Linked DNA regions of Mus musculus: all the other regions are reported to be linked to region 1. Evidence: microRNA targets listed by miRTarBase, many of them from high-throughput screens and not tested one by one. Region 1 holds a microRNA gene; each other region holds the end of a gene's coding sequence. Distances are between the middles of the regions.
The links. Region 1 holds the annotated microRNA mmu-miR-290a-5p (ACUCAAACUAUGGGGGCACUUU, at 5,225-5,246, shown strand). A microRNA usually pairs through its seed, bases 2 to 8, with sites in the 3' UTR of a target mRNA and lowers its output. Matches are read on the target gene's strand: a 7mer-m8 pairs with bases 2 to 8, a 7mer-A1 pairs with bases 2 to 7 and ends in A, and an 8mer does both.

Region 2: the mRNA of Hhat is a reported target of mmu-miR-290a-5p. Seed matches in the 3' UTR shown: 7mer-A1 at 2,152-2,158.
Region 3: the mRNA of Ube2v2 is a reported target of mmu-miR-290a-5p. Seed matches in the 3' UTR shown: 7mer-A1 at 5,731-5,737 and 7mer-A1 at 1,446-1,452.
Region 4: miRTarBase lists Ric3 as a target of mmu-miR-290a-5p. Seed matches in the 3' UTR shown: 7mer-m8 at 1,719-1,725 and 7mer-m8 at 2,205-2,211.

What each region holds. Positions count from the first base shown.
Region 1 is chr7:3,213,415-3,221,133 of GRCm38, forward strand. It overlaps Mir290a (microRNA 290a), which reads left to right and starts at 5,212; the gene lies at 5,212-5,294. It overlaps Mir290b (microRNA 290b), which reads right to left and starts at 5,281; the gene lies at 5,224-5,281. It overlaps D7Ertd143e (DNA segment, Chr 7, ERATO Doi 143, expressed), which reads left to right and starts at 5,370. Exons shown (of 1, transcript NR_028425.1): 1 at 5,370-7,601. It overlaps Mir291a (microRNA 291a), which reads left to right and starts at 5,505; the gene lies at 5,505-5,586. It also overlaps Mir292, Mir292b, Mir291b, Mir293, Mir294 and Mir295, and 1 more gene. RefSeq lists a cis regulatory region at 1-2,188.
Region 2 is chr1:192,507,270-192,514,988 of GRCm38, reverse strand. It overlaps Hhat (hedgehog acyltransferase), which reads left to right. Exons shown (of 12, transcript NM_144881.4): 12 at 1,014-2,161. The coding sequence ends at 1,105. It overlaps Kcnh1 (potassium voltage-gated channel, subfamily H (eag-related), member 1), which reads right to left. Exons shown (of 11, transcript NM_001038607.2): 11 at 4,830-7,719. Among named protein-coding and RNA genes, the nearest start is that of Gm31011, 5.0 kb to the left of the region's middle.
Region 3 is chr16:15,549,990-15,557,708 of GRCm38, forward strand. It overlaps Ube2v2 (ubiquitin-conjugating enzyme E2 variant 2), which reads right to left. Exons shown (of 4, transcript NM_023585.4): 4 at 997-6,554. The coding sequence ends at 6,408. Among named protein-coding and RNA genes, the nearest start is that of Gm41424, 25 kb to the left of the region's middle.
Region 4 is chr7:109,031,619-109,039,337 of GRCm38, reverse strand. Ric3 (RIC3 acetylcholine receptor chaperone) reads left to right here. Exons shown (of 6, transcript NM_001038624.1): 6 at 455-5,019. The coding sequence ends at 894. Tub (tubby bipartite transcription factor) reads right to left here. Exons shown (of 12, transcript NM_021885.4): 12 at 4,879-7,719. Among named protein-coding and RNA genes, the nearest start is that of Tub, 25 kb to the right of the region's middle.

The sequences.
Region 1 (7,719 bases):
GATGCACACAGTTTAACCTGATAATGATTTTACATTCTGATGCTGAGCCAAGCAACCTGGGTCAGGTATGCCAGCCCCCAAAAGAATGGTTTTCTCCACTTTTCTTTATAGTACCTTCCACAGAAGAAAATAAGGATAACCTGGCAGTTTACCATCTAATGCCTTTATTAAAGGCTATCCTCCAGCCTTGTCACTGTGAATGAAGATGGGATTGACCAGCCCCTCCAATTGCATCAATTAATTTTGAACCTAAAAGGATTTCAAGCCCAGAGGGGAATTTACAGAAGAAAGCATTCTTATTGTAATGCTCAATCCTAGTAAACAAAGCCAAGGGTTGGGTGGCAAAGGGAGGGAGGACTGGGTCATTACCATAAAAGCCTTGCTGCCGACATGCAAATGACTGTCCTTCACCCCAGCCAGTGGAGTTTTGAAAGAAGTAAAATGACTCTCCTTTTTCCGGGTCCTTACTTCACCAGCTGTCAAATCTCATCCCGCAGTTCTGTGAAATTTCCAGTACCTTCTCTCATAATAACTTAATGCTACTATGAAGAAAGAAACAGATGGGGTGGGAGAAGTGACACCAGGTGAGAGGGTCAGTAGGTAAGTTCCATCCCCCGGACCACAGAGGAGAAGGAGAAATTTCTTCAGGCCAGCTGCCCTGTGATTTCTACCAGAGCACCTTAGCATGTGCACAGCCTCCCAACCCAATAATGTCATTTCAAAGCCCCACACTGAGTAGTAGCTGTCTGAGAGTCCCAGGATAGCCAGGGCTGTACAGAGAGAGGTACCCTGTCTGTTGGTGGACACCTTTAATCACAGCACTTGGAAGGCAGAGGAATGCAGATTTCTGAGTTTGAACCCAGACTGGCTTAAATAGAGAATCTGTGTGTCAAGATAAGTAAATAAACTGACCTGCGACCCCCTAATCACATAGGAACAGAAAATAAATATAATCACTTTATATAATGTAGTGTTAATAATAAGAAGAAAAAGAAAAGCCAGCAGTGTGTGTTAGGAAAGAGACAGCAGGTGATTTTTCTGTAGTAGACAAGTTTGAGGCCAAGCAGCTCAGCCTGGGATTATGAGGTCATGGCATGAGTTTGAAGCCAATGAGCTCAGCCCTGTGACTATGATTCTGCCAGCCTCCGTGCCATTCAGACTCCAGGTAACGAAGGAAGTCTAACTAGTTTGCAGGTTAACAGTCCCTTTGGCTGGGGAGAATGAAATACATCTCCCTTCGGATTTGAGCCTGGGAGGACTTGGGAGCAGGTACCTCGCCTGGTGCCTCACTTCCTAGGTGCAGTACAAACCTCAAGATCTCTGCTGGGGTCCCTGAAGCTCAGCATGAGAGGAAAGGAAGGAAGCCCAAGGTTGAAGGCAGGGCTGATAAAAGCAATGTTTTTGCTAATTTTCATATATCCCCAGCTGTCTTTTTTTTTTTTTTTTCCCGAAACAGGGTTTCTCCGTGTAGCCCTGGCTGTCCTGGAACTCACTCTGTAGACCAGGCTGGCCTCGATCTGAAATCCACCTGTCTCTGCCTTCTAAGTGCTGGGATCAAAGGTGTGCGCCACCACACCGGGCTAAAACAGCTGTTTCTTAGTGTCATCATAGAAAGGTTTTTGTCAGAACCTTGGAAGGCAGCTGACAATGATAAAGAGGAGAAGGGGAGCCAGAGTGGCACCCCACCTTTGCCCCTCCACTTCTGAGCTCCCTGCTAGGCCTAAGGGTCAAAGGTAAACTCTAAGGAGGCCTTATGGAGGACTTAAGAGATGCTTCTACATTTTTAACCCTAGGTGCTTTCAAAAGTGTTCTTTATGGAGCCCTTGAGCTGTATTAATGTATAAACAGGTATACTGCCAAACTCAAAGACCTGAAGGCAATCTCTGGACCCCAAGAGGTAAGACAGAACTCAGTGCTACAAGCTACTGTCTAACACCTATATGCTTCCATTTCACCTCTGCCCCTCCCTGCAACATACACCAAAAATAAAACTTTTTTTTTTTTTTTTTTTTTTTTTAGGCAGGGTTTCTCTGTATAGCCCTGGCTGTCCTGGAACTCAAATCCGCCTGCCTCTGCCTCCTGAGTGCTGGGATTAAAGGCGTGTGCCACCATGTCCAACAAAACATAATTTTAAAACGCTCACTGTGGGCCAGCTTGGTACAAGCCCATACTCGAGAAAGCAGAGAGAGATGCGTGGATTTCTGTGACTTGGAGGCCAGCCTGGTCTATATAGTGAGTTCCAGGCCTCTCTTGCCTAGCAAGATCCTGTCACAAGAAATAAGCAAGTAAGGAAGTGAGTGAGTGAATAAATAAATAAATAAATAAATAAATAATAAATAAAATTCTTAGGGTTAAGTTAGTGGGGCACTTTGCTTGGTTATGTTCAACACAGTATGAACAGGGAACAGAGTTGCCAAGGCCATCTTGGGAAAGTTGAAGAGAAGCTAAATCAGTAGCTCATCCCAGGCTAGGCTCCTGGCATCCTAGCCTAGAAAGATCCAGTCAGAAAGAAAGAAAGAAAGAGAGAAAGAGAGAGAGAGAGAGAGAGAGAGAGAGAGAGAGAGAGAGAGAGAGAGAGAGAAAGGAAGAAAGAAAGAAAGGAAGGAAGAGAGAGAGAAAGAAAGAAAGAAAGGAAGGAAGGAAGGAAGGAAGGAAGAGAGAGAGAGAGAGAAAGAGAGAGAGAGAGAAAGAAAGAAAGAAAGAAAGAAAGAAAGAAAGAAAGAAAGAAAGAAAGAAAGAAAGAATTATCCTTCTTGTTGCTGCTGTTTGAGGCACAGTTTCACTTGTAGCTGCTTGGCCTACCCATTGCTGGAATTAAAAGAATGTGCCATTATACTTGACCAAACCCATATCTCTATCTGCTTCCCCAAGCCTAAGACCTAGCAAATTGCTGGTGAGGCTTGTTTGTTCAATTAACAAGACATCTAAAGTATATTAAATATGCCTGGAATTAATGACTGAACTGGGCATACTGGTATATGCCTATTCCAGCCCTTGGAAGATTGGAGACAAAGACTTATGAGTCCCCACTAACCAAAGAACACACATGGGCTGGACCTAGGCCTCTTTGCTCACATGTAGCCGAGGTGTAGCTTGACCTTCATGTGAGTCCTAAACAGCTGGAGCAGAGGCTATCCCAAAAGCAGTTGCCTGTCCCGGAGTTATGATGGTCAAACTGGGCTGCTTTGTCTGGCCTCAGTGGGAGAGGAAGCACCTAGCCCCACAGACTGGAAGTGCTGGGGGGGGGGGGGCGACTCAGAGGAGAAGACTGGGGTTGGGGGAAGGATTGTAGAAGGAGGTGACCTGGAGGGGGGCAGTGAGTAGGATGTAGGGTGAATACATTTTTAAAAATTAAATTAATTTTTTAAAAATGTTCCATTACACACACACACACACACACACACACACACACACACACACACAAGGTGTAGACTTAGGAGTCCTAAATTATTCTTGGCTATTTAATGAGCTTATGGCCAGCTTGGCGTACTTGAGCCTTGTCTCCAAAAAACAAACAAACAAACAAACAAACCCTAAACTCCAAGTCTGCAATATGCCTCTGTAGCTTTAGCCCTGCCGCCTGGAGACCTAATTTCAATCCATGGAGCTATTTAAAGATATTTAATAAATAATAATAACAACAACAATAATAATAACAAAAGAAAAACAGCCGGGCATGGTGGCACACGCCTTTAATCCCAGCATTTGGGAGGCAGAGGCAGGCGGATTTCTGAGTTCAAGGCCAGCCTGGTCTACAGAGTGAGTTCCAGGACAGCCAGGGCTACACAGAGAAACCCTGTCTTGAACCCCCTCCCCCCCAAAAAAAACATATTTAAGCATAGGAGAAAACTAACTCTATCATATTGTTCTTGGACCTTCATATTCAGTGTGGGAAAGAAAGAAAGAAAGAAAGAAAGAAAGAAAGAAAGAAAGAAAGAAAGAAAGAAAGAAAGAAAGAAAGAAAGAAAGAAAGAAAGAAAGGTAAAAAAGAGGGAGGATTTGAAACTCTGGATTTAAAAAAAATTCAAACGAAAGAATAAACTGAACCTCCCACATTCTTCCTTTATTTATTTTTATTATTATCTTAATACTGAATGTAGCCCTGCCTAGTCCCGTGCCTAGTCACCATAGTAGACCAAGCTGGCCTTGAACTAACAAAGATCCTCCAGCCTCGGCCTAGAAAACTATAGGATTAAAGGCGCTGCTTCTAGAAACAAACAAAGAAATCTGTTTCCTCTGGGGGGTGGGGGGGAGAAGAAACCAGTGAAGGTCACTCTGCCGCAGGGAAACTCAGCTCAGAGGAAGCAGGGTGGTAGAGTAAGGATTCTCCGGGGTGGGGGAGGGGTATCAGAGCCTCCCAGTCCAGGGGGCCAATGAGCCTTCAGACTATATAAGAACCTAGAGCCTCCCCCACGCCTCTCAGAGACTTCTACTCCACATCGGGAATGCTGGTCTCTGCGGTCTTCAGGGATACCTCCGGCGTGCTGCTTCTCACATAGGCAAAGGTAATATTTTTAGTTTCAGATTTTTTATTTCCTTCAGTTCTGTGGTTTTAATCTACCTGGTTTAGAGAGGCGAAAGTAGATCCAGGATTTCCAGAAGAGAGATCTTCCTGCTTCAACTTTGGAGATGACTAGCCAGGCTGGCCTTTAACTCTCATTTCTGCCTGCCTCTCTGCCTCCAGATTAAAGGTCATCACGGCCATCTTCATTCTACTTTTTAAAAACTAGAGCCCCTTTTTTAAAAGGCAGGCTAGCCGCGAACTCAGCCTTCCTCGCTCGCCCCCACGGTTTGGCTGGGTTTACTAATCCCGAGGCAGAGGCAGGCCCATCTGAGGTTGGTCTGGTCTCCAAAGAAGACATTTAGAACTAATGTGTGTGGAAAAAGAGTTGGGCTTTTTTTTCTGACTTGGTCTACATAATTTCAAGGGAGGAACGAGCCTATGTGGGGAAAGTGAGTAGTCTGGGCGCGAGTGAAGTTTGGGGACCAGAAACCAAAGCTAGGAGTTACTGAGGGCAGGTCTAGGGAGTCTATGCAGTACATTTCATTAACTACGTGGTTTCATTGTAGAAATTTTGAGTTTCACTATACCTTGAGTTAGACCGATGTACTAACTCTTCCTTGATTTCATCCAGGTTTCCTTCAGGTTGGAGTGAATTTTAAGTTCTCCACGTTCTTTCCTCCTGGTAAATGTTTTAACGTCTGGACCGCCTCATCTTGCGGTACTCAAACTATGGGGGCACTTTTTTTTTTCTTTAAAAAGTGCCGCCTAGTTTTAAGCCCCGCCGGTTGAGAAAACGGCTATCTGGCACATTTACCAGCCCTGGTGCCACGTGTTCCGGGTTAACTGCAGCGTGGTGAGTACGGATTCGAAGAAAGGAATGAGACTGAGTATAGCGAAAGGCTAGGGATGGGCATCCTGCCCAGTAGACGGTAACTGAGGTGGTCGTTGTAGGGTACCTGGGGGCTCCATGTGCGTCCTGTCGCTGCTTGGAGCTGTTACACCTATGTAGCGGCCATCAAAGTGGAGGCCCTCTCTTGAGCCTGAATGAGAAAGTGCTTCCACTTTGTGTGCCACTGCATGGGGAAAACATCATAGCTTTGCATCTGACGCATCGGTTTACAGGAGCGGACAACCTGTGTGGGGGTTTAGGCTTGGAGTTTAATGGGTCCTATCCTAAAGAGGGCGGTTCAGTTGGGTGCCACGAGACGCGGATGGATGTAAGGCAGTCGTGAGTCCAGGTGCATTGTAGATTGTTCTTAAGCTTGACCTCCAGCCTGTGATACTCAAACTGGGGGCTCTTTTGGATTTTCATCGGAAGAAAAGTGCCGCCAGGTTTTGAGTGTCACCGGTTGAGAACTCAAAACGGCTAAGAACTAAGAATTAAGTTTTAGTGGGTCATGTTTTCACTGGGGTTGCATTTCTGGGCAGGTGGGTGTCACATGTGGGTTTGAGTCCGAACACTTGGGCGCATGCGGTACTAAAGGCTTTCCGCGTTCATAAAGGAGCCGGGATCCCACATGGGCCTCGCTCGGAGGAGCTGAGCCTCAGGTCTTGGAAGTTGGAACATACAGTGTCGATCAAAGTGGAGGCCCTCTCCGCGGCTTGGCGGGAAAGTGCATCCATTTTGTTTGTCTCTGTGTGTACATGGCGTCTGAAAAGCCGGCTGCAGCTGCAACCTGGAATCGCTTACCTGCTTGAAACAGGTATGTGTGCTGGAGGTGAATTCGTTGCCACTGGCTACTCGAGCTGCAAGGCTGGAGGTGAGGAGGAAGCAGGGCAGGGTGGAAGGAGGCACTCCAGGTCCAGGGGTGGTGAGTCTAAGCCTCAGGTCTGAGTAAAGAAAGGCCTACTTTTAAATCTCACGTGGCCGCCATATTAAGTCCTCTTTCAATTTTTTTCCTTTTTCTCCAAACAGGGTTTCTCTGTAGCCCTGGCTGTCCTGGAGCTAACTCACTTGTAGACCAGCCTGGCCTCAGCTCCATCCACCTGGGATTAAAAGATCCTATATATCTTGCTTGACTACTGTAGTTGCTATATCTTGCTTGACTACTGTAGTTGGACTGATGGTTGTGAGTCTTGATATGGTTGGATTGAATTTTTAGGACCTGCTGGCTGTAGCTGACTTTAACCTGGCTCCTAGCACAAACAAGCTTGGTGGACAGCCGGGTAGATAATACCCATAATACCTTTTGGCTTTACAATAGCCCAGGCTCATGAGGGCTGGGATTACAGGTGTTACATTGTGTGCCCTAAGCATAATCTTCATGGATTCTCTTTGTTTTTCAGGTGTTCCAGTTGAGTTGAATGTAATCCTGCCTAGCCTGGGGTACTTACTTGCCTTCAACCTGCCTGGCTGGCTGGTCTGGCTAAGAACTGACTATAAAGTTTCAGGTTTATTACCACAGCAGGTCCCTGTGGAAATGCTTCAATCTGTGGTACTCAAACTGTGTGACATTTTGTTCTTTGTAAGAAGTGCCGCAGAGTTTGTAGTGTTGCCGATTGAGAAACTGCAGTTGGCCTAAGTGTTGCATCATTTGGGTGTCATCTGTGGGTATGATTCAGTCTGTAATGGGGCAAAAGTAAAAGCTGAGGTGCACGGAACCTCACGGGAAGTGACCCAGATTTGACAGGTACTGTATTACATATAGCTGCATTTATCCTTTTGGCATTGAATAATCCTTAATCTTCAGTTCAGTTGTAGGCATGTTTGGATCTAGCGAAATTCCATATAGCCATACTCAAAATGGAGGCCCTATCTAAGCTTTTAAGTGGAAAGTGCTTCCCTTTTGTGTGTTGCCATGTGGAGAAAGCATCGGAACTTCAATCAACCAGAGACTCCTTGCTTGCTCATCTTGGTGAGACTCAAATGTGGGGCACACTTCTGGACTGTACATAGAAAGTGCTACTACTTTTGAGTCTCTCCTGTGGGCACCATTCACAGGTCGGCTGCTTTCATGCATGTGTAGTGTGTATCTGAATCCAGATGAAGGTTTCCTGGAACTGGGACATGTGGGTGCTATTGAATGAACCAAGGTGCTATGGGAGCAACCAGTGCCCTCAGCCTCCAAACATGAATAATAAAGTCTTGTTCTCTTGATTTTGCTGCTTTCTCAGTTTTTGTTTTAAAACACCCGCCATGGTTCCTAGGGATAAAAAAAGCTTGCAAGCATGCAAGCACCCTTTTAATCACTGGGGTTGAGACTAAAGGTAATCCT
Region 2 (7,719 bases), not on the chromosome of region 1:
GAACTGAACCCATGTCCTCTGCAAGAGCAGTAAGTTTTCTTAATAGTTGAATCATCCCTCCACTCCCAAACTTTGACAGTTAGTTCTCTTTCACAAGATATATTTGTTTATTCAGTGTGTATGTGTGTGTGTGTATGAACTTGTGTACATGCATGTGTATGTTTGTGTGCATACTTGTGTATGAACATGTATGCATGCATGTGTGTGTTTGTGTATGTACTTGTGTATGTATATGTGTGCATTTGTGTGTGTGCATGTATATATGTGTGCCTGAGTATATGTGTGTATGTGTTCATGTGTATATGCCTGTATATATGTGTGTGTGTTCCTCAGTGTGTGTATAAGTATATGTACATATGTGTAATATGTGTGTACATATATATGTGCATGTATGCACAGGTGTGCACATGTGTGCATGTATGCAAGAATGCCTGAGTGTATGTGTACCTGAGTGTAGTTATGTGTTCAACAATGCAGCAGTGGCTGTGGAGGCCAGAATAGGGTATTAAATTCTCTGGACCTGGAGTTATAGGGAGTCACCATGTAAGCGCTAGGAACTGAACTCTGGACCTTGCAAAAGCAGCAGCATTCTGAACTGCTGAGCCATCTCTCCAGCCCTATGTTTTGAGTTTTGAAATCTAATATCTAATCTAGGGTCCTCCCTTTCTATGTGCTAAAAAGTACCACTGTGTTCACTGTACCAGTGGTCTGCATGTTGGAGGCTGACTTTGGTACCCATAGGCGTATCTCTCTAGTTATTTGCTTTAGTCTCCAAAGGACATGCTCTTTAAAAGCATGCCCTGTTTCTAAGTGAGTTCGCTTTTGCAGTAATGTAACCACCACTTCCCAGTGCACCTGGTGAGAACACAGGAACCCACCTGCTGGGTTCACACAAAGTTGACTTTCTGGAGGTCTATGATTCTGTTGCCCTTTTCTTGGGGGACAATTTGCCCACGAGGGAGGGCACACCCAGGTATTCTAACTATTCTTCGTCTCTGTCTCTCTTCACACAGGGTGGCCATGGGTGACTCTGTCTGTCCTGGGATTCCTGTACTGCTATTCTCACGTGGACATTGCTTGGGCTCAGACATACACAGTTCTTTAACTGTGTATGGCTGCTGGGCCAGCTCAGCCTCCAAGGGACATGGCATTTCATCCTGATCTCTCATTCTGAGACCATCCTCAAACCACCCTCCACTCCAGGACAGTCCCTGAGGGACCACCCTCCACTCCAGGACAGTCCCTGAGGGACCACCCTCCACTCCAGGACAGTCCCTGAGGGACCACCCTCCACTCCAGGACAGTCCCTGAGGGACCACCCTCCACTCCAGGACAGTCCCTGAGGGACTACCTTCCACTCATCTTCTAATGAAGACGCTTCATTCCAGGACTGGCAGCTTCATCAATCACAGTAAATACACAACTCAAACTTCTAGCTCTGGAGCCTCAGAGATTTGTCGCGTCCCCCCCAGAAGCTTCCTGACGCACAAGGTACAGTCCAGAGCAGTCTCAGGTTTTCCTGACTATACCTGTGATATTTGTTCCCATGAACCTGCTTGTTTTTTTTTTTTTTTCTTCTCTACCAAAGCTTAGGTGTGGCAGATGTGTGTTTTGATATGGAAGTCCTGGTTAGGGATAGGCTTGCCATCCTTGGGATGTCTTTCTGAGAAATTCTGAGATACTTTGATGTCTCCTTTCTATGTGCTGCCCTGGGGGCTCTGGACTAACCTTCGCATGAATGGTCCTTAGACAGGGGATCAGCAGAACCATTTCACATTTCAAGTGGCCCAGCTAGAGTGGGTGATGTGCAGCTGGGGCTTTACAAAGAGTTCTGTAACTTGAACTTTATTGGAGAGTCCACACAGGGCTGCTGCTTTCTGAGACTTGTAGCCATGGAGGAACATGGTGGTTCCTCTCACAGCTGTTCTGCACAGAAGTGGAGTTTAAAAGCCAGAGAATAAGATGTCCACATGCAGGTGGTGTTGCGCAAGGCCTCTGGGGAGAGTGACATCCCAAGGTCCCATGACTTTTACTCAGTGGGTTTTATTGCCTTATTCTCATTTAAAAAAAAAAAAAACAGAACCTGTTTTTGCTACATAGATAATTCTGATTTTTTTGTGGTCTTATTTTGGATATTTTTTAAATAAAAATTTTGAGATCTAAACACATGTGTCTTGATACTTCATCCTTCTAGACAGCTGCTGACAAGTGTCACTGTGGTTCTGTTTGGCTCTGGGTTCGTGTGGGAGGAGGGGAGGGGGGAAGCTCTAAGTTCTGAAGCTCTGTGTGTGGAATTTGGAGGGAATGCTTAACACTCCAGCTATAGGAACTATGACCCTGTGACCGTCAAGGGAAAGATCAGCTGGGCTTTGTGCTGTCTCATTTTCTAAGTGATAGTGTCCCGAATCGTGCCTAGGAATGCCAGTTCAATGGAACAGGTGCCCTTGCAAGGCACACCCTGCCATCAGGGGATCCCCTTTCTTCCTGGCTGCCATGCTTGCAAGAGAGATGTTGATGGACTGGGTTGGGCACACTGTGCTACCTGAACAAAGCACAGACCAGAAGGAGGCAGGTAAGCTGGGCAGTAGCAAACTCAGCAGCTGGCTGAGGAAGACGAGTCAGGGAGACGCAGGGCAGGCAAGTGTGGGATGCTGGGAAGTTATAAGGATGTGGGGGGCAACCACTGAAATGAGTGCCATCTTTTAGAACAACAGAGTAAGTATTTGTGGTCAGCCAGAGGGAGTCTGGCTGAAGCCTTCAAGTAAGGAAAAGACTCACTGAGAAAAACCGTAGTGTAAAAATGATTGTAGTGTCTAATAGAAAGGCAAACCTATCCCCGAGACTACACTGGAAGAGTCAGTGAGTGGTTGGCCATAATAACCCAGAAGTTCATTAAAATGATCTGATTCAGTCATGGTCTCAGCAGCTGGCTGCTGCTCTCTGTGTGGATTATCCGGGGCTCTGTTGTCTCACCTTTCCCTGATCCCTGATGTAACATAACAGAAAAGCACCTCCCAGTGTAGTCTCCACTTGCTGTAGATAGATCCTTGAGTCCGGTTCCTGGGCATCAGTCAACTTCATCCACCAATCAGTCATCCTCACCCACCAGGACAACTTCCGAGACAGTTCCGGAAGCGTGCTGGATAAAGTCTTGAGTCCCTGTCAGTCCCAGGACCTCTGATCCCTGACCTAGTTCCATGAGCAATTGCCCAGCCAGTACCCAAGGAGGGAAGCAAGATGCCCAATGCCAACCAAAGTCCTGCTGTTATCATAAATTCTTGGAACCACACAGAATACTGAATGGCATTAGGCTTGCAAGTTGTGAGAACATGGACTTTTACTGATACCTGTAGTATCTAGCTGTTAGCAAGAGTTGTGGTAATGGTAGTTAGTAGTGCTCCCCTTACAGAACTTGAGACTTTTTTCTTTGCTTTTCTAAAAATACAACTATAGGTTAGCTAAGTACTAGAAATTAACTATAATGTTTATACTTTTAGCAAACATATCAGGATGTATGTATACAATAAGGTTGAATTCTACTTGTTACCCCAAAGGTTCCTCTTGTCTCTGTTGCTAGTTAGTTACAAAAACCCTATTTGTTTCTTTGTTTGTTTTAACCATTAGAGATTAAAGATGCAATTAATGTTCAGCGCTTTGAAATGAGCATTAGTTATTTGAGATTTTAAACAATGTCATTATTAGTTTTACCATGCCCTTCTGTAATGTAATGAAATAGGGGACTGAAGGAATGTTCTCAAATACACCATGTTCTGATGTGGTCAGTGAGGTTCTCCATGTCCTGACTTTGGTTTCACATAATGGATCTCGTCCCAGAATTAAGTCCCACTGTCTGCTTTTTGGACTTTGATGGTCACTGGATCTTAAATAAGACACAGGATGGCAGTCCTGTGGAGTCTGACTCAGTGCCTGTGGGATAACACTGAGTAGGACTGCTTGAGGCAGCTCAATAGCTCTGCAAACTATAGTGAAGTAGGGTGAGAACCCAGTGCTGTTGACAGTCATTCAGGAAACACTGGGTTGTGGGTTTTGCTGTCTTTTCAAAAGTAGGGAAAACATTAATGTACTTTATTCAAAATCCATGTCAAATTGTTCAAGATGAAAACCATCACTTTAGAACGGGAGGTGTGTTAAGGCAAATGCTACGATTTGAATGTGGGTTGTCAACTCATATTGAAACTTGATGCCTTTGTGATGGGAGATAAGGACTTTGTTGTGGTTTGGCTGTGAAGGACCCAGATCTTCAAGACCAAGATCTTAGAGGCAGCCTCTCAGGCTCATTGCAGAGGTAAAACTTCAGAGAACATGCTGTGGTCACTCCGTAAGGAGCACTTAGACATGAAGCATGCTGTCTCCCCAATCCATTATAGGTCATACTGACTGTCAGCTTGACACCGTCTAGGATTCCCTAGATTACAGGATCTCTGGGTCTGTCTCTGAGGGGTTGCTAGATCAGGAATCCCTGGCCTGGTGGGTGGACTGCACCCTCAAGCCATGCGCTAATATAAATCCTCTCTGCAAGTTGCTTGGTCTGGTACTTTACCACAGTATCATGGAAACTGATGGATGCAAGGCACCATCCACATCAGAGCTTCCCACATATTTTTTTTAAAAAAGATTTATTGTTATGTTCTGCATGCCATGTGTGTGCAGGTGCCTCAGAAGCCAGAAGAGGGTGTTGGATCACCTGGAGCTGGCATTCCAGGTGGTTGGAAGTCAGCCACTCATGGGAACTGAGCAGAGAACAGCCGGAAGGAGAGAAAGCATCTCACTGGATGACATAAGTATGTAAGGAAAGGCAAACACAGGTATCACATATAAAATAGTTTATTACCATAATAAATAAAATTAAACTTTTTTTTTTTTACAAATATCATTTGTGCTTGTTTAAAAATGTCAAGAAAGGGGGTATCATCCATGGAGTGCCCACATGTTCTCCACATCCGTACAGCCACACAGGGGAGCTCTTGGCAGCATCCTCAGCTGACCACAAAAATAGCCTCAGCTCATTTGCACCTGTTTATTCATGCTCATTCGGACAGAGGAAAAAGAAACAACAACAACAACAACAAAAACCCCAATAAAGGATTTGGCAGGATTTGATGGAGAATGTTTGTATGAGAAGCCTCAGGATGACGAACTGCTCATGAGTATAAATGTCCTTGCAACTTGGATGGTGGACAGTCTCCAACTGATGCTGAAATACAGTGTCTGAATATTAAGAGGCTACATTCATTGGGGTGGGGGTGGTGGGTGCTGCATTCTTACCAAGAAGCAGTCTGACTTCTGAAAGTTGAGCTGTGAACTTCTCAAGGACTAATAGGTCGATGGGATGACTCAGAAGTCACAGGTATAAAGAGTCAGTAGCTCTAAGGAAGGTCAAGTGGCAGGTGGAGATGCCCCCACCAGGTCTGGCACCTGCAGGAATTCAAGACCTCCTTTAAAGGTTCTGATACACTAGTGTGAAGACTGACGTTTTACTTGAGACTCACTTAAGCTTCAGGTAAGTTCACATTGATTCCTTTGAACTGTGTGAGAGGTGGCAACATGTCTCCACACCAACACCTTGGATGTAAAATGGTTCTCTTTTGGAAGCTTAGGGTCGGTGCTTCAAGGACTCTGAGGACTCTTCCAGGTGGAGGGCACCGGAGCTGGTGAAGATAGTTTTTATTGAAGCGAGTAAGAAGGCAGTACATGAAGCAGCAACAAAGACAGGGACATTTAGGGAGGAGAGGGCATCTGAGGGCCAGAGCAAACCTAGGCAGGCCTCTTTTCTAAGCCACACAAGATGGGGTAAAAAGGGGTACCAACACCTCAATGGCAGTTAGACTTCCACTCAAGGGTCTTAAGGCTAAACAGCTTTATGGCAAAATAAAATACAATTAGTTGCGTGCACATCTATGATTTGTACCTTCACCAGGGTTCCCGAGAGGCCCCGGAGTGTACCTGTGAGATGTCAGTGTCACACAGAGATGAAGGTCTGTCTGCCTCTGACTGGTATTTCTGAAGTGTTCACTCAGGCCCTGTTCCAACTTGGACACACCTAGCATTTGGCTTAACATTCTCTCCTTCCACTGAAGGATTCAGAGACTGACGCCAGCAGGTGGTGGGGTGGTACTGTTTCTACCCCATGTCCGACCATCCTTGCTGTTGAAGCAGCAGGGACTCCTTGAGGTGGAGGCTAAAACAGGGCCTTGGAACCAGATAGCAAGAAATCAAATCGAGAAATGTGAATCCAGAGCTTGCTGGGGAGCCAGAGGTACCATTCAATGGCAGAGCTCTTCCCTAGCATAAGCCAGGGCCTAACTTTGACCTCCAGCACCAAAAACAAAGCCAAGCGTGGCGGGAAGCTGCTACAACAGGCATGAGAGTCAAAACACTTGAGCCCCGCTCCAGCAGTAAGCAGAGAAGTGGGGTTGGCCATGCCGAGATCATAGCAATGCAAAAGCCGCCACATGCCCCATGTTGGAGCCTTGCCATTGCCCTGGGATGACATGGCTGACGAGGCATACTCACCAAAGCCAGAACATCTACTGCCATTTTGGTTCTGATACCCACACTACTGCACACCTTCAGGAAGAGAGCAATCCATCCAAGTCTCTTGTCAGGATAGCCACTGGGAAATTGTACTTCACTATGGCTGGCATTCACAGTAGCTCGTTTAGAGAGACCAAGTGGCCAGCACTTACTAGACAGTAGCGCACCACATCGTGTGTTTGCCACACCCCCCCGCCCCCCAAAAGAATCTTTTGTCTGAAATTTCAGTGTTCAGTCTGCACATGGCAAATTTTGTTTCCCAGTCTCTCCCTAGCCACCAGATAACTGCTAAAGCAGGAAGGTTCAGGCTGTGGGTATCTGTTCCCTGTGGTCCTTGCTCAGAACTTGCCTCCAGCCCAGTGCATGCCATGACAGTAAAGAGACATGGGTTGGCTCATTGAAAATTTGTTTCAGATAAGGCAATCCTAGCAAAACCACTGTAGAAATGGGGAAAGCTAAAAGCCACTGTCAGGTGTTCTTCACTATCATCTGCAGGAACTGAAGCCCTAGACGCCTAGGACCCCAAGGTGAGCAGAGACAGGGTGTGGACCTCCATCTAATGGGACTTCAGCCTGTGCATCGACCCCAGAGAGTAGCCTGAAGCTTTATCTGTCTCCTGTCACAAGGATGAGCTTGGCTGCACCGCCACCTCAGACAGAGTTCAGTCAAGGAGCAATGGGGCCTCTGCTCTGAGGGTCCTTAAATCCCAGCGAGTTCCAGAAAGCTTCATGTGTGTACACCCTTGACTTTCCAGGGCTTTCCAGCCTGTACAGACAGCCATGCATCAAGTCCCAGCAAGTGCCATGGTCACCAATCAGAACAATGTCTTTGGTAGGGCAGGTTTCCAATGTCAGGCTCCTGAGAGAGGCTGAGATTCTGAATCACAACAGCCAAGCAATGCTAAGCAGAGGTGCCCGTGTCACTTGCTGTCCTGACTGCAGAGCCGAGTTTCCAGGCTTACTGGCAGAGTTACGCCCCTGACATCTCTCCAGGTGTGCACCTGAGCCAGCTCCCCTGTCCTGTCTGATGCCGTTGAAACAACACCAAACAGCATGTCCTCAAGTGATCAAGGCAGCGAGTGTCCCTGAGCACCACGATGTGGGAATTTGAATGACACAGAGATGGCCCTGGGACCATGGCTCTGAGCCCCCACCTTCCCCAAGA
Region 3 (7,719 bases), not on the chromosome of region 1:
ATAAAACTTCATTTTTTAAAAAAGTGTGAAGCCACTTGGCTGACCAAGCCAGCTCAGTCAGTCTCCAGGGCAGGAGTAAGGATTAAAAAGAAAAAAAGACAATTAGACAACATTGTAGCATGACCCTAGCCAGTTCTGAGGTTGAGGCAGGTTTATATTTTTCCCAACCTGCTTTTATACCATTTTAATTACATGAAAGCAATAAGGTGAGTTCTAGGTTAAGGAACAAGCAAGACAATAAACACAAATAGTCAAGGAACAAGCAAGGCAATAAACAAAGTCCCCAAGATCACTGTTTTTAAGGGCTTATCAGGATGACCAAGATAACTGAGTCTACTTCCCAGTCCTAGTCCAAAGTCATATTCCTGCCTGAAGCCTACTTCTTTGTTCTAGCCTAAAATCAGATTCCTGTCTGAGCGTGCTTCCTTGTCATAGCCCAACGTCAGATTCCTGCCAAGCAGCTCCCAAAAGCTCTCCACACTTGGCAGAAATTCAATTTCCATCACAAGTCAACACTTTTAAAATCAAAATATTTGCTCAAGGTTATATTCTCCCATCAAAAAATTGAACTTTGCTTATCGGCTGAATCATTCTGAGTTAGCCAATTATATGTGAGTATGAGGCCAAGTTCTGACTACTCAAAGAGGGAAGAGACCCCTTTATACTAGGAATAAAACCCAACCAGACCTCTGGTGGATATTTTTTGCATGATTTGACATGGTTATACATCCTTCTCCAGAAGTGGGGTTTTTTTGCTTGTTTCTTGCTTTGCCAAGATATTTTGGATTGTGTCCTGTGACCTTAGACTCATTTATAGAATGACCAACTGCCCTACAAATGTAACAGGTAATGTCAGTGTGGGAACTATCCACATGTATCATAGAAAGGCCAATTCTAGGAATAACTTGCAAAATTTAAATTCCAAATGTATGAAACTTATACTATCAAACCTCAAAGGATTTGGGAAGCTCTGTGACTACAATTGGACTCCTCCTTACCTTAGAATATCTTCTACTTTATTGGTAGCCAAAAATTGGGGCTTGCATAAAAGCAAACATTGTATAAAAGCAAGCAATTGCATAAAAGTAAACATTCTCCAGGGGTAACATTCACTAAAACTGGCCAAATGCTACAACCAAAAGAACCCTACTGGAAGTATGCAAATTTTAGAACGAGATAAATTCATTGCAAATGAAGACATTACTTAAAGAAAAAAAAACTCATGTTCAAAAACGAGTAACTAACCCTGAGAGAATAAAGAATTCTGTTTTTAAAATGATTTACTCAAAGAATGGATTAAAAATATGAGATAAAAGCCAGACGTGGTGGCGCACGCCTTTAATCGCAGCACTTGGGAGGCAGAGGCAGGCGGATTTCTGAGTTCGAGGCCAGCCTGGTCTACAAAGTGAGTTCCAAGACAGCCAGGGCTACACAGAGAAACCCTGTCTCAAAAAGAAAAAAAGAAAAAAAGAGAGATAGGTCCAAGCTGAGGTGGGAGGAACCTGTACTTTTAACCTACAACAGTTGTTGACAACTTTAGTACAGGCAGAATCTGAAGTGGCTAAGGGGCAACTGCCAACATTTGTCAGTATAGAGGCTAGCAGTAATAACCTATGGAAAGTTTATAGAAAACTTCAATTATGGAAAGTAATAAATGCAACTGTAACCCAAGGCACTGTACTTTAAGAGCCTTCATTTTCCCAATTAAGCAAATATTCATCTCACAGTACAGTTAGCTAAGACTGGGGAAATTCTGGGCAATGTTGATTCTGTCCGTGGGAAGTAGGTAGACAAGTGATTCCCACACTGACTGCTCTTCCTAGAGGTCCTGAGTTCAATTCCCAGCAACTACATGGTGGCTCACAGCCATCTGTAATGGGGATCCGATGTCCTCTCCTGGTGTGTCTAAAGACAATGACAGTGTACTCACATACATGAAATAAATAAATCTCTTGAGACAGACAGACAGAGAGAGAGAGAGAGATTGATTCAGCTTTTATCATTGATCTCATAAACTTAGAAGGGGGAACCTACCGCAGTATTTTTAAATTATATGGAAAAATGAGATGGGGCAAAACCCTTATTTCTTAGCTGCACACCTTTTATTGAAGATATAAACACCACAGCAACCAGCGGTTGCTTTTAAAAGTTCTGTCTCCCCACACCTGCTGGTAGAGACATGTTGGGATTACTCACATACTACACTGTCCCGCTTTCTACATGGCGTCTGCATATCCAAACAAGACATCAGGCTCACTCCTCCAGCCTGCTAATGGCTTTTTAAATCATGTAACTCATTCTATGAGTTTTTCAAACTCCTTGATTTTACAAAATGGTCTTCATTTTTATTTCCTGTATCAACAAATACCTTTATTAGTTTTCTTTTCAGAAAATACTTACAGTGTATCTTTTCAAAATTCCAGAAAACTTCCTAAACATCCAATATGTTCAGTATCAGATTCCCCTGGGACAAGCAAGATGGTTCAGTGGGTAAAGATACTTGCATCTAAGCCAGATGACCTGAGTTCAACCCCTCACACAGTGCAAGGTGCGAACAAATTCCTAAGTTGTTCTTTGGCCACACACACATACACACACACACACACACACACACACACACACACACACACTCATAAATGAATGCACACAGGCATGCAAATGCACAGTCACAGGCACACACAAAATATAGTTTTAGAGAAAAAGTTTATTCAGTCTTTGGTAACTTCTCCAAAGAACATTAACTTTAGAAATTCTATTCCTGTGGACTCCCTGCTTTTTAGTAAGCTCGGTACTGAATGTAAGTTAATCACTTGTGTTCCTACCACTTGTGTTTATTCCTTTTCATGGTGTTTCTAGTTCAGAAAACATGTACATCTTTCCAAAATCTTGAGGCATTACAACTGAACAAAAACTGGTCAAACTGAAGCAATGAAAGTGTATTGCTACTTATCAGAAAAGTAAGATCTGTGTCTGCTATCCTTCCCAATAATCAATAATATTGTAGCTCTGTATACAAATACCTAAAAACTATTCTTATAAAGGAAAAAAACTGTAAGATTCCTTAAGTAGTTTCCAAAATCCTTGTAAGCATGCAAGAATATATGGTTTTAAACTCATTTAGGAAGCTGACATGATTTTGACTGAACTTATGAGAATGGCCTAAAGCCATAAACATCAAACCTATTAAGAGTGGTTTTCAACAATGCTCTAAATTTTCAAATATCAACTTCACATGCATTCTAATGTTGAAGAACACTTCGATGATGGAAGTCAGTCTTGGTGAAGTACTTGTCCTGATAAATCAAACTAAAGTCCCTATTTATTCACATACCCAAATGTTGAGTAAAATAGTTTTTATAAAGGTCAATGTAAAATTACAGGTTTTGTTTTCACACCCAAAAGACTGCCTGTGACAGACCCAATGTTTGTTACAAAAATTCTAGAAAAGTATATACAGATCCCTAAACAAGTGCAATAACTTTATTTTAAATTAACAAATAATAAAAAATTACCAATTCTGAAAATAACAAATAGTTAAAGCCATTAAAGTATAACAGGGACCTACTGGAACAAGAATTTTACTTTTTAACTTTTATTAACATATAGTCATCAAGGGTCATACTTTAAAATCTCTTGAAACAAGTTTCTAAGGCAAATTTCTAGTCTATTTATACCACATTCCTGCAATCCTAGTCACTTTACAAAAGAAGATTTGCTTTTATTTAAAAGAGGCTCTATTAACTCTAAAATTTCATCAATCTTAGATAATCATATATAACTGTTACATGCAAAATGGATTTTGCTTTGGAAATCTGTTAACTGACTCATAGATTTATGCTAAGATCCACAATCCCTTAAACAAGAAAGGGGTTTTTTTTAAATAGGCTGGGCTCTGACAAACAGCCTTGGGTGGAGGAGAGAACTCTCACAGTGGCATATACAAAGACAACATGAGACCAAAGTACCAGATTCTACCAAAGGCTATCAAAAGCATCCCAACACTTACTAGCTCCAAGTATCACAAGACACATTTTCAAGGCAGAAAAGAACTGGTAATGACTCTATACTGTCAATGCAATTGAATGTAATCTTTAATCATTAAATATTAGTATATTTCATTTAAGTCTACTTTAATCAATTACACATGGAAAATGTTATGTGTATGTTCTATGTGGTTAAATATTTAGAACATCTTTGAGGGGCTGAGATGGCTCAATGGTTGAAAATGCTTGTTGGAGATCCGATTCCCAGAACCCACATAAAATAACAGGTAAGGCTATAATTCCAGCCTTGGAAAGCAGAGGCAGGGGGATCTATTTCTATAGCAAGCTGATTAGCAAGTCTAGCTGCATCAGTGAGCTCTGGGCTTCATTTAAAAACACTGTCTGACACTATAAAGTGAAAGAACAATTAAGAGAGACTCCAGATACCACCTAAGGCCTCTGCATGCACCCAACACACACACACACACACACACACACACACACACACACAAAACACGAATAAAGGAAGTTTGTTGATAATTAGACTAGCTCATTTAAAATGAGTCCACTTATGCTGGACATGGTGTACACCTGAACTAGTACTTGGGAGGCTGAGACAGAAATAATTGTGCAAGTTTGAAGCCATCATAGGTTATACAGTGGTACCCTCTTTCAAACTACAACAGTGATGATAATGTCTAGACAAACTAGTTTAATGACTAAAAAAACATTAACTTTTAAACAGCTTAATCAAAACACACCAAGTATATGTCAAGAAACCTATCCTTGCTATAAAAGTAACCAAAAGTAATCAGTATACTAGTCATGCTGTTCCCTTTACTTTCTTTATATGCAAAGTTTGAACATCTCATTTTTTTATTTTGACAATTAAACTGTCAATTTGATAAAAGAATAAAAATAAACTTTCAACTTCAGACACATATTTGTTAAAGTAAACAGAGTGGAATGATAAAATTAACTTCCGTTGTTCTTAGAAGAGGAACCAATGAGATGGCTCTGCAGTGAGGGCCCTTGTTGACACGCATGGTACATGGTGATCAGAGTTCGACATCAGTAACACACAGGAAAGTGAAGGCAAGAACCAACACTCCAAAGGTAACCTCTGATCTTCACACAAGTACACACACGTATGCGCGCGCACACATCCCCCCACCACACACACTGCGCACACACACACTAAATAACAAAAAAAAAATTAAAGATAGGGGAGGAAAGTCTTCAATTCAGTCAATTGTAATGAACCAAAGCTTTACAGAAAAATTAAAATGTCACAAGAAAAAATTAAATGAGTACTGAATAATTTGCAGTTTGTAGCTACAAAAACTGCTAAAATGCAAAGATCTTTTTTAATATTGCCTATGATGAAATAAAATTTGAAATATAGTAACTGAGATACCTCTTTGTGCGAAGAAATTAAACTGAGCATGTACGGTGTCACAACAAGTGCTCTGTAAGTTCCAAACATAGGCATATAGAATAGAATTTCAATGAAAGTCTTTGATAGTCTCACAGTATTTCTTATTTTGTTTTAATTGCAGTCTTATGTACTAGCCCAGGCTGGCCAGGAACTTGTAATCGCCTGCCTCTGCCATTACCATGCCTAGCTTAATAACTCCCAATTTTGCTACCATGATATGGCTACCATAGCATATATCAATGTAACAGAAATAGCACAGTCTCTTAAGACACATTCCATATTTTATTTACATTTTAAGACTAACTTTCATCTCAAAATCACATATCCATACACCTATTTCCTTTTTGTTGACTTCACTTAAAACATCTAAGCATGTTTTACTAAACAAAGACTGTAAACAAATTATTATGTCTGTTACATGTAACAAACGGGAACAGCTTTTAACAGAAATTCAAAACCCCAACACCTTTTATTATAAATACAGGTATCAAAACAATCCTGAACCTATGTTTGTACTAATAGTAGTCAGCACCCACACCGCTTCAAGAATTAACACAATTGTTGACTAGTCATTGTATCTGCTACTTTAAACAATTCCAACTGCAGCTCTAAATATGATAAAGCATGCCATTTCTGTTCTTCCTTCTTGAGACTTTACTTTCCAGAAAAACAAATGTTTCCATGGCCACATGACACTCTTTTGTCATGCTTTTGTCTTGAAAGCCTGAACTCCATTTTGAGTACTTCAGGTTCATGTTTAAATGACAGTGCTTTAATAGAAAGAAAAATTGTGCTGCACGTCTCTTGTTACCTGAAAACATAATAGGTGTACATATATTAAATATATTCTTACAACTGTCCAGGTCATGTTTACCAGCTGCAATTCTTTTACTTATTGTGTGGGTATTGTGCATGGTGATATTTAATCAAGACATTAACATGAGTAGAAGGTTGCTGATTTAAGACAAGTTTGAGATCCACTAAAGTTAGTTGTTGTACGTCTGTCCTTCTGGAGGCTGTGGAAGCTTCATATTTTCTTTGGACATCATAAGACGTCTTAGCTCTTGAAGTATGACTTTAATGCTATAGGAATTTTGCCATTTTGCTAATACTGGTATGCTCCGTGCATCCACCTGAGAGAGGAAGAGAAGAGAGACAATTAACTGCCAAGTGTAAAGTACTGTAGAAGCACAGCCAGACATAGTGGAGCACACCAAGACAACAGAGAAAAGAGGAGCACCAAATTCAAGACAGCCTGGGCTAGATATGGAGACTGTCTCAAAAAACAAACAAAAAATTAATAGTATTATTAATGATGTTAATGTACCTTGTATCAATAATTTAAAAATAATTTAACAAGAATGCTATACTATGCCAGACCCCATAGAGCTCCCAGGGACTCTTGTACCACCAAACAAAGAGTATACAGGAGGGACCCATGGCTCTGGCCGCGAATGTGGCAGAGGATGGCCTTGTTGGACATCAATGGGAGGAACAGCCCTTGGGCCTGAGGGGGTTCGATGCCCCAGTGTAGGGGAATGCCAGGGCTGGAAGGCAGAATGGGACAGGAGATTTCCAGAGGGGAGACCAGGAAAGGGGGTAGCATTTGAAATGTAAATAAAGAAAATATCCAATAAAAGGGAAAAAAAGATTATTTACAAGGATGTTTATATTTTCTTGACTGATTCCTAGTCCAACCTATTGTGTAACCAACTCTCCAAATATGTCTGATTTTCTGCATTTTACAATGAACATGCAGCAGTCTTATTACCAGAATTTCTATATGCATATAAATATTACATTAAGTAATGATTTTGTAATCATTTATAAATACTTGTTAATCGTTGTTGCTGATTTAAGACAAATCTACTCATATTAAGTCAGAACACTCCTTTCTATTTCTAATAAAACTAAGAGGAAGAAAAAGGTTGACTTGTGGATGACACAATCTTGTACACAGACAACTGTAAGAATAACAATAAGAAAACTTGTGGAGGCCAGAAATGGTGGTGCACACCTTAATCCCAGCATTCAGGAGGCAGAGCCAGACAGATCTCTCTGATCTGGATGCCAGCACAGACTACACAGTGAGAATTCCAGGCCAGCCAGGAATACCTTGTCTCAAAAACACAGAGGGAGAGAGATAGGAAAGGAGAGTGGCCAAGAGGGTGGAAACAGGGAGAGGAAAGGAGAAGAAAGGGAGAAGAGAGAGAGAAGAGGAAGCAGGATGGCGGGTAGGGGGAGAAACTACTAAAGCTAGTAAGATCATAGCATCCATATTTTTTTTAAAAGCTGCAT
Region 4 (7,719 bases), 110 Mb from region 1:
AGAAAGCACTGTGGTTTATTTTTCAAAGAGCTTAGCATTCCTTTTCCCAGCCCCACCTCCACCAGAAGATTTGGAACTGGTTCCAAATAGAAATTGTAAATACTAGCCTTAAGCTAAGCCCTCTCCATCTGTAGCGCTGAAGGCTCATGCTGTTTGCATAATCTTCATCAATGCTGCAGAAACATGAGGGGTGAGACTTACCTCTACCCCAAGCACCTTACTTACAAAGGATTTTCCTCTGCCCTGGGTTGTATTTCACAGAGCACTGAGACAGTCAGCCAGACTGCTCAGAATTTGTTCAAGTGAAACTTGAGGACTATTAGGACCATCTTAGAGATTTATTGAATGGATTTGTTAGGATAGGATGGCTGTTGCCAGAGAATGCTCTCTGATCCTGACACTATTTATTTTCAAAGATGCTCTTTTTAAGACTTTGTGCTACTTTCCTCTCTAGGTTACCCAGAAGAGACTTATCCAATATATGACCTTTCGGATGGTATCAAGCGTAGGCAAGAAACAATCCTGGTGGATTACCCTGACCTAAAAGAGCCCTCTGCTGAAGAAATTGCTGAACAAATGGGAGAGATAGAAGAGGAAGGATCAGAGCGTTTGAGCTGGGATCATTTGCCCACTGACCCTGGAGCCCAGAAAGATAATTCTGTTGCCCCGTGTGATCCCAAACCAGAATCATGCTCCTGCTGTGTTCATGAAGAGGAGGATCCTGCTGTCTTGGCAGAGAATGCTGGTTTCAGTGCAGATGGCTACAGTGAGCAAGAGGAAGCCACCAAGGAAAACTTGCCCCAGGACTTTACAAATGAAGGGCTGGGAGTCAGCACTGATAATGCACACGTGGGTGGTATGTTGAGGAAGCGCAACCCCCAGGGTTTTGAGTGAAAGCAGCCTGCTTGGGAAAGTATCCATTACTCTGTTCCCATGGCACCTTTCCTCAGTTTCATCCATGGCCTTGTGCCCTCTGCATCCTCTGTGTTCAATACCATAGCTCTTGGGCCACTACCATGGATACAGCTAATCCTTCCCGGTGCTTGCACACCTGTCACTTTGTAAAGTAGCCAGTAGTGTGAACACGGGACAGAATCACCTTCCTAGTCATGCGCTTCCCTATCAGAGTGTGAACACAGCACAGAATCACCTTCCTATTCATGAGTTTCCCTATCAGAGACACTAATCCACTCGGTAATTGTATTTGGTTGTTTGTGCTTGCAGGTGGTACCACCTAGGCAAATGTCTGACCCCTCCTCATAGGAGCAACAGATGATTTACCTGTGAATGATTTATTGAATGGATTTGTTAGGATAGGATGACCGTGAAAGAGAACTGGGTTAGCTGATATTGAGGACTTAAGTTTTAAGAATGAAGATTTTAGATTCCCAAATGCCTTATTCTTTGGGCCTTCAGCTGGTTAGTGGTCCCTGAGAAGAGCATGCTCAATTCTGAGCCTAGGGGCCCAGAGCACAGCAAGATATCTGATTGAGCTGCAGTCTCTCCTCACAGCCTTCTAAGATGCCCTGACTCCTCCAGAGCAGCAGGCCATGAACTCACGGGCCTATTTGGAGACCATTTTGCTTGTATATTCCCTCGATCCCTGCTTCCTTTGTCTTTATTCTGTTGAACAGAACTGCCAAATCTAGAGGCAACTCTGAATGTCTTCTGTGGCTAGAGGGATTTGGAGGCATTAATCTGTGTCCCACAGAGCTGAAGTTTGAGGCTGTTGAAGCTACAGGACTGCTTAAGTATGGTGGTCCTTCCATGAGGAGCTCAAGTAGCCAGGAAACCCTGAGAATTCTAACAAGGGTGTGTCAGTTCAGTTACATGAATTGAAAGCTGAAAGGCTGTGCATCTCCAACAACATTCCGAGTCATGAAATGGGAGACTCAAAATTTAAGGAATTCTGTGAAGCTGGATAGTCTTTAGAGTTCTATTGTGCCTGGCATGCCTATGATGCCAGAAGATAGTTTGGACCACTCAGGAGCGTACTGCCCTGGCTGTCATCAGGTCTGAGACCACACTAAGACACTGTCAGCTACTAGAAAGCTTTACATGTTAACGGGACTAGAGAAACACAAACGCTGCACTGTACCAATCCCTGTGTAGAATGTTTGATTGAAATTGTGCAGAATGCAGTTGAACATGTACTGAAGATGGTCTTGACATAACTAAGTGTAAAAAGCAACGCAGATACTCTTGTTTGAGCAGATTGTTTTCTGGATGGTTCTGGCATCCACCATGAGAAGTTGATTTAAGATAGCCCCGTATCACTGGTTCTAATTTTTGTTCATAGGATATAATTCTGTTATTAGATAAGAACTTGTTTCCTTCTCATTCATTTGTTGGACAACGGCCCTGTGCTAAGTACTGAGTGTCTGTGCATAGTCCAATGCCCCAACTAAGAAGACTGAATTTGTACGAATTTCAGTTTAATGTGCTAATCTAACAGATGCACTATGGACCATAGGAAGGCTAGAGATTGTGAATTCTTCAGACAGATTTCCCTGCAATTCAGGCTGTGGAATTCTGGATTGGCTCCTTAAGCATCCCAAGCCTGGTTGGGCATCTATAAAGTGTGAGGGTAGTAAAAACACAGGTCTTACAGGGCTGTAAGCTGCAAATGAGGTAGTCAGTGCACATAGGGCAGCATGCTTATGTTGTTAGCTCATGCAAAACAACATATCATGTGGTAGCTGTTTTATTCATTATAGTGTGGACCCTAAACTGTAGGAGCACAGAAGAACAAGAATGTTCTTGCCAAGTACCAAAAAAATCTCAGAGACACCTTGTGGAAAGCTAAAACATGGCAAGAGGAGGAAGGACATTTGGGCAAAAAAAGTAGGTTAGCAAGAACAGTGTGGTTGGTGTATAGATGGGTAATCAGGTGAAAAGGGTTTAGCACCAACTCTATCATTGGGGATTAGCTATGGAAACAATTCCTGCCAAAAGGACCAGTCCTTCATGGTTCTTGCCACTCTACATGTTAGTCTGCATATAGGAATATATTTGTTTGTATATACCAGAAACTTTGAAGAACCTATTAGTAATTTGGAATATAGGCATTTTTTCCCAGAATTTTATCTTTTAGATATGATTTTTACAGGTTGACCAAAATCAAGGGGCTTGGTTTCATTGTATGATCTTCATTTCTCAATATTAAGGGTTTCATCAAGGCCTTACCATTAGGTCTCCAGTGACCTATGGGGCACCATAGCAGTAGTTGGCCTAAGAAGCCACTGTACATCACCTAGGAGTGTGCTTGGTAAGTCAGGTGGGTGATCAGCCAGAAGACCCCTTAACACAGCTATGGAACAAGACTGTGTGCCTCCTTATCTCAAGGCCTGGGCCTGGGAGGTATGCTGAAGAGTGGAGATGGACTCAGCCTCTAGAAATAATGGCTTGAGAGAATTATGTTCTTTGTATTTAGACTTAAGCAATAATGGTCTTCACTCAGACACTCTGGAAAGAAGAACCTAAACTCACGGCATAATTAAACGTTCTCATTGTATGGAAGGTAACAATGCAGGAGGAGCATGTAGTTGAGGGCAGTCCTTCAGGGCAGCAGGAGCCAGCGGGCAGGCTCACAGGGAGCTGAGGTGAATGATGATACACAGCACTTGGCTTGTTTTGCCCCTCTTATCAGTCTGGGACCCCAGCCAAAGGGATGATACTGTCCATAGTAAGGATGGGTCTTCCTCCTCAACTAACTTTCTTGTAAACACCTTCATAGACAAGTATGTTTTCATGGTGATTCTAAGCCCCTTAAGTTGGCAATCAAGAGCAAACCAGAGGTAATAGGTATAAATAAAGATTTTCCTCTGCATGTGTTCTACACAATTGAGGATTTTTTCTTAAACTTGATGACTAAACAAACAAAACCTCTTCCCTTTGTCGAACACCCTGTATATGGTCTTCACAAATGCAATCACTACAGGAACCAGGCCATGTTCAGGTAGGGAATGCTTTTGACTCACATCAAAAACACTTAGCTGAGTAGATAAATGAACCCTAATTATAGACCTGCTCTTAAATTCTTTTTATTTAGACAATTTGTATCTGCAAAGAACATTTCATATGTCACCTATTGGGCAGTGATCAGGAAGGATACTAATCAACTATTCTGTAATCTCCTTAACCATTAGCATGTCTAAAACACTTTGTAGTATCAAAAAACCAGGCCATTCCTTCACTTCAAAGGGTACCACTTTCCTTATGGATGGACCAGGAATCACGTCCACCTTACAGGACTGTTTCTGAAAGCTGCCCAGTGTGAAGTGTGCAATGGTAGGTGCTTATTAGCACATCACTGTCTTGAATCTCATGCTTCTGGACTACCCAACTTGATACTCTATGGCCACTCTGCATGCCAAGAATGGTCCAGAGTCACTCTGAGGAGTTCTTGTGACTTTGTGATGACTCCTTTTAGAACAACTATAGGCTTTCATCATGTTGGCCTCAAATCCACCACAGACTGAAAAAGGGTTCCCACTATGTAAGAGTCCTGTTTAAATAGACCCACCTCCAAGCAAGGCCTGCAGTCATGTGGCTGGGCCTTTCCCACTCTTGAGTACTACAGCCCAGTTCTGTCCACAAGGGCCATGTCCACCAAGCATACTTAAGAACTGTCAGCCAGTTCCTTAAGTGACCAGATGACCTGAAGTATCCTCTAACCCTTTTTTCCCCATGCTATAGATGTGGTTTCACAGGAGAAGGCAGTGCTGATCTGTATGCCACTCACTGGTTCTAAACGTGCTCTGGGCCCTCAGTTGCTCTTACGCACCTGACCCTTTGAAGCGCCTAGAAAGGACTGGGATGGAGAACATTTTAGGAGAGACATGTTCTCTTCTCTATGAAAACCAAGGACACAGCCGTCAAACAGTTCAAGTTTAATGTGTTGATACATGTCTGTACTTAGACAAACACTAAATTCTACAACATACATAATGTCATTATGGGAAAATACCAAGTTTGTCATTGCACATACCAATAAATAAATACATTTGCTTCAGAATACCAAAAAGTTTATTCAAAAAGTCACTTAATAAAAGCACAGTTTTGCAAGTTTGTCTAAAACTCCAGATAATTTTGAACAAAAATAAAATGTCTGACCACTCCAAAATAGGAAAAGACAATCATGTGCAAATCGACATATATGTTCTAGGCGTGAAAACTGGCTAAGTGTGCTCTCAGCTAGAGAAATTTTGCCTGTCCTCACCAAGCTGGTCACCAGTATGGGGTCCAGGAGGTTGGAGCTGGGCTTCTCCTTCTATGCTACTGAGATGCTCTATAGAACACTCTACATTTCAGCCTCATCTGCTCTACCTGGACCTCAGTGGGGGCGAAGGGGCAGGAGAACAGAAGAGAGGGGTGCATTGTCTTTCTTAGGGAAGAAAGAAGGCACAGTGATGAGCTAGGAAAGGTGGTGATGAGAGCCAGGACTAACTTTCATTTACCCTAACTCCTACAGCAAGCTCTGACAGGCCTTCTTACAGGGAGGGAAACACAAAGATTACATGGGTTGCTCAAATGCTCTAGCTGCTCAGTACAGTTGTATGCTCCTAGATCAACTCGCCTCTGTGCTGAAAACTCAAACCCATCCCAGTACTTCTTACGATCTTGAAATGACAGAAGATTGTAAGCTGGAAGTCAATTTGGGCAGGTGGCCATAAACTGAAAGAAAAATCTATCCCATAGCCTGTTCTGGAGACTGAAGCAGATCTAAAGCCAGGGTCTAGGGCAGTGCAAGGTCCCAACTCTGCAGGGCAGTTGGGCCCCAGTCACAGTGCTAGGCACCACAAAAAAGCATGCTTTGATGGCACCTGGCATCCTGAAATCCCATGAGGATATCGTAGCTGGGGCAAGGAATACAGAGAAGGGGAGGCCAGGACTGCTGAGAAGGGAAACCAGGCTGTCCATCTATGAGACAGGTGTTGTGCTTGCAGAGCAGAGCTCCCTGCAGATCCTAGCTAAGCAGTCATCTCTATTGCTTGTTAAACTTAGAACTACTTCTACATAACGTTTGAGGCAAATAGACCTGCCATTTCCATAAAAGAGAAAGAAAAAACAAAACCAAACAAACCCACTTTACAGCATTGTTGCCTTGTCACTGAAGACGGTATGATTACCAAAAGCTCTCTTCCAGACTGTTGCCACACACCTTGGCTTCCGACTCCTGTCTTCCCAGAGGCACACACCTTACTTGCTTGCTTCACCTTAGTGTCAAGATTGTTAAGGCACCATCACCACCCCATGTTCATTTAAAAGGGTGCACATCTCAGCTCCTCCTCCAGTGAACTGACAACACACTTCCTTGACAGTCGCCTGCTCAGAACCATGGGAGAAAGAGCATGGAATGAAGGGGCACCATCCACAGTCCACAGTGGTCACCACTGCCTCCGTTGTCTTTCCCTACTCTGATGTGATCTTAAACTTCTGTTCATTGTTTGCAGATTGCCCTTTCCTCGACACACACACACACAGACAGACACACACACACAGACACAGAGCACCTTGGAGCCAGAAGGACAGAAAAAGCTAGACTTGGAGAGGAGCTGGGGAAGCTAACATCACCACTCTGCAGAAGAACTGGTTTGGAGCAGAGGGTGGAGAGTGTTAGGGTGTGGAGCCGGTAGCATACAGAGGAGCTGCCTAAGGTTCCAGCTGCCCTGCACTCTTACAGACTAGGCTGCTCTTCTCACCAATTTGCTACCCAGCCAAGGACCAAAAAGAAGAGGGGATGAGGGGTAAGGGATCTTCCTGTGGGAGAGGCTAACCCAGGTGATCCCGGGGCCCTGGTATCTGAAGTCCATTAGCCTGTGTTCACAGCGCCAGTGGTCAAGAAAAGGCATTATCACCAGGAGCTGAGTCTTAAAATCTGACCTTGTGAGGCTGGTCTTGTCACTCAGGGCCCGACAGAGGGGTTTGTGCTGAGGCTGCTCCTTTCCACAGTGGGCTACAAAGTTCAGCCTATTTCCTGGTGCTACCAACTTTATATTCAAATAGCCAAGAACCCTCTTTTTTGTGTGTGGTAAAGCAGAGAGCAGAGTCCAAGAGTTTTCCATTGTGCTTCCAGTTCCGCTCTTAACCACCAGGGTCCCCTCCACTCATGAGATTCCAGAAATCAGCCTGTTCAACCTTAAACTTGTCAACCCAGAGAAACAGCCTGACTAGACTAAAGCTCTGGTTTCTATCACCTCTAATGTCAGGAGATTTCTCCCTATAAAGTCAGGGAGGGAGGGCAGACACAGAACTATGGGAAGGAGATGGCACTGTAATCTTTCATCAGGAGATAGGCCAGCCCCAGCATGGAAGTCCTACTGCCCTCTAGAAACTAGACTGTAAACAAAGGCTACCTCGCTGAGGGTTCTCTGATGGCAATGTATGGCTCAGGTGTGTCAGAACCTGCTGCAGCAGGTGTGCCTTTCGTCGAGTGTCCAACCTGGGAAATCTAGAGCTTTCTTAAAGTACTACTTCCATTTACATCAATCCAGCCTCCTTACCTGCATAGCCTCTTCATATCTAAAGCATGACCCACATATTCAAAGCATGACTCTACATGACTCTACTTTTTAAACTTCTACTTAGCGTTTCCAAACATATCTATTTCAAAGCAAAAAGCAATGTCTAAATGCTCTTTGCTTCCCTCTGGTGTCTCAGCTCCAAGAAGCTTCTCACAGATGGCACACAGGCAAGAGCTTGGAGTTCCCAAGCCCA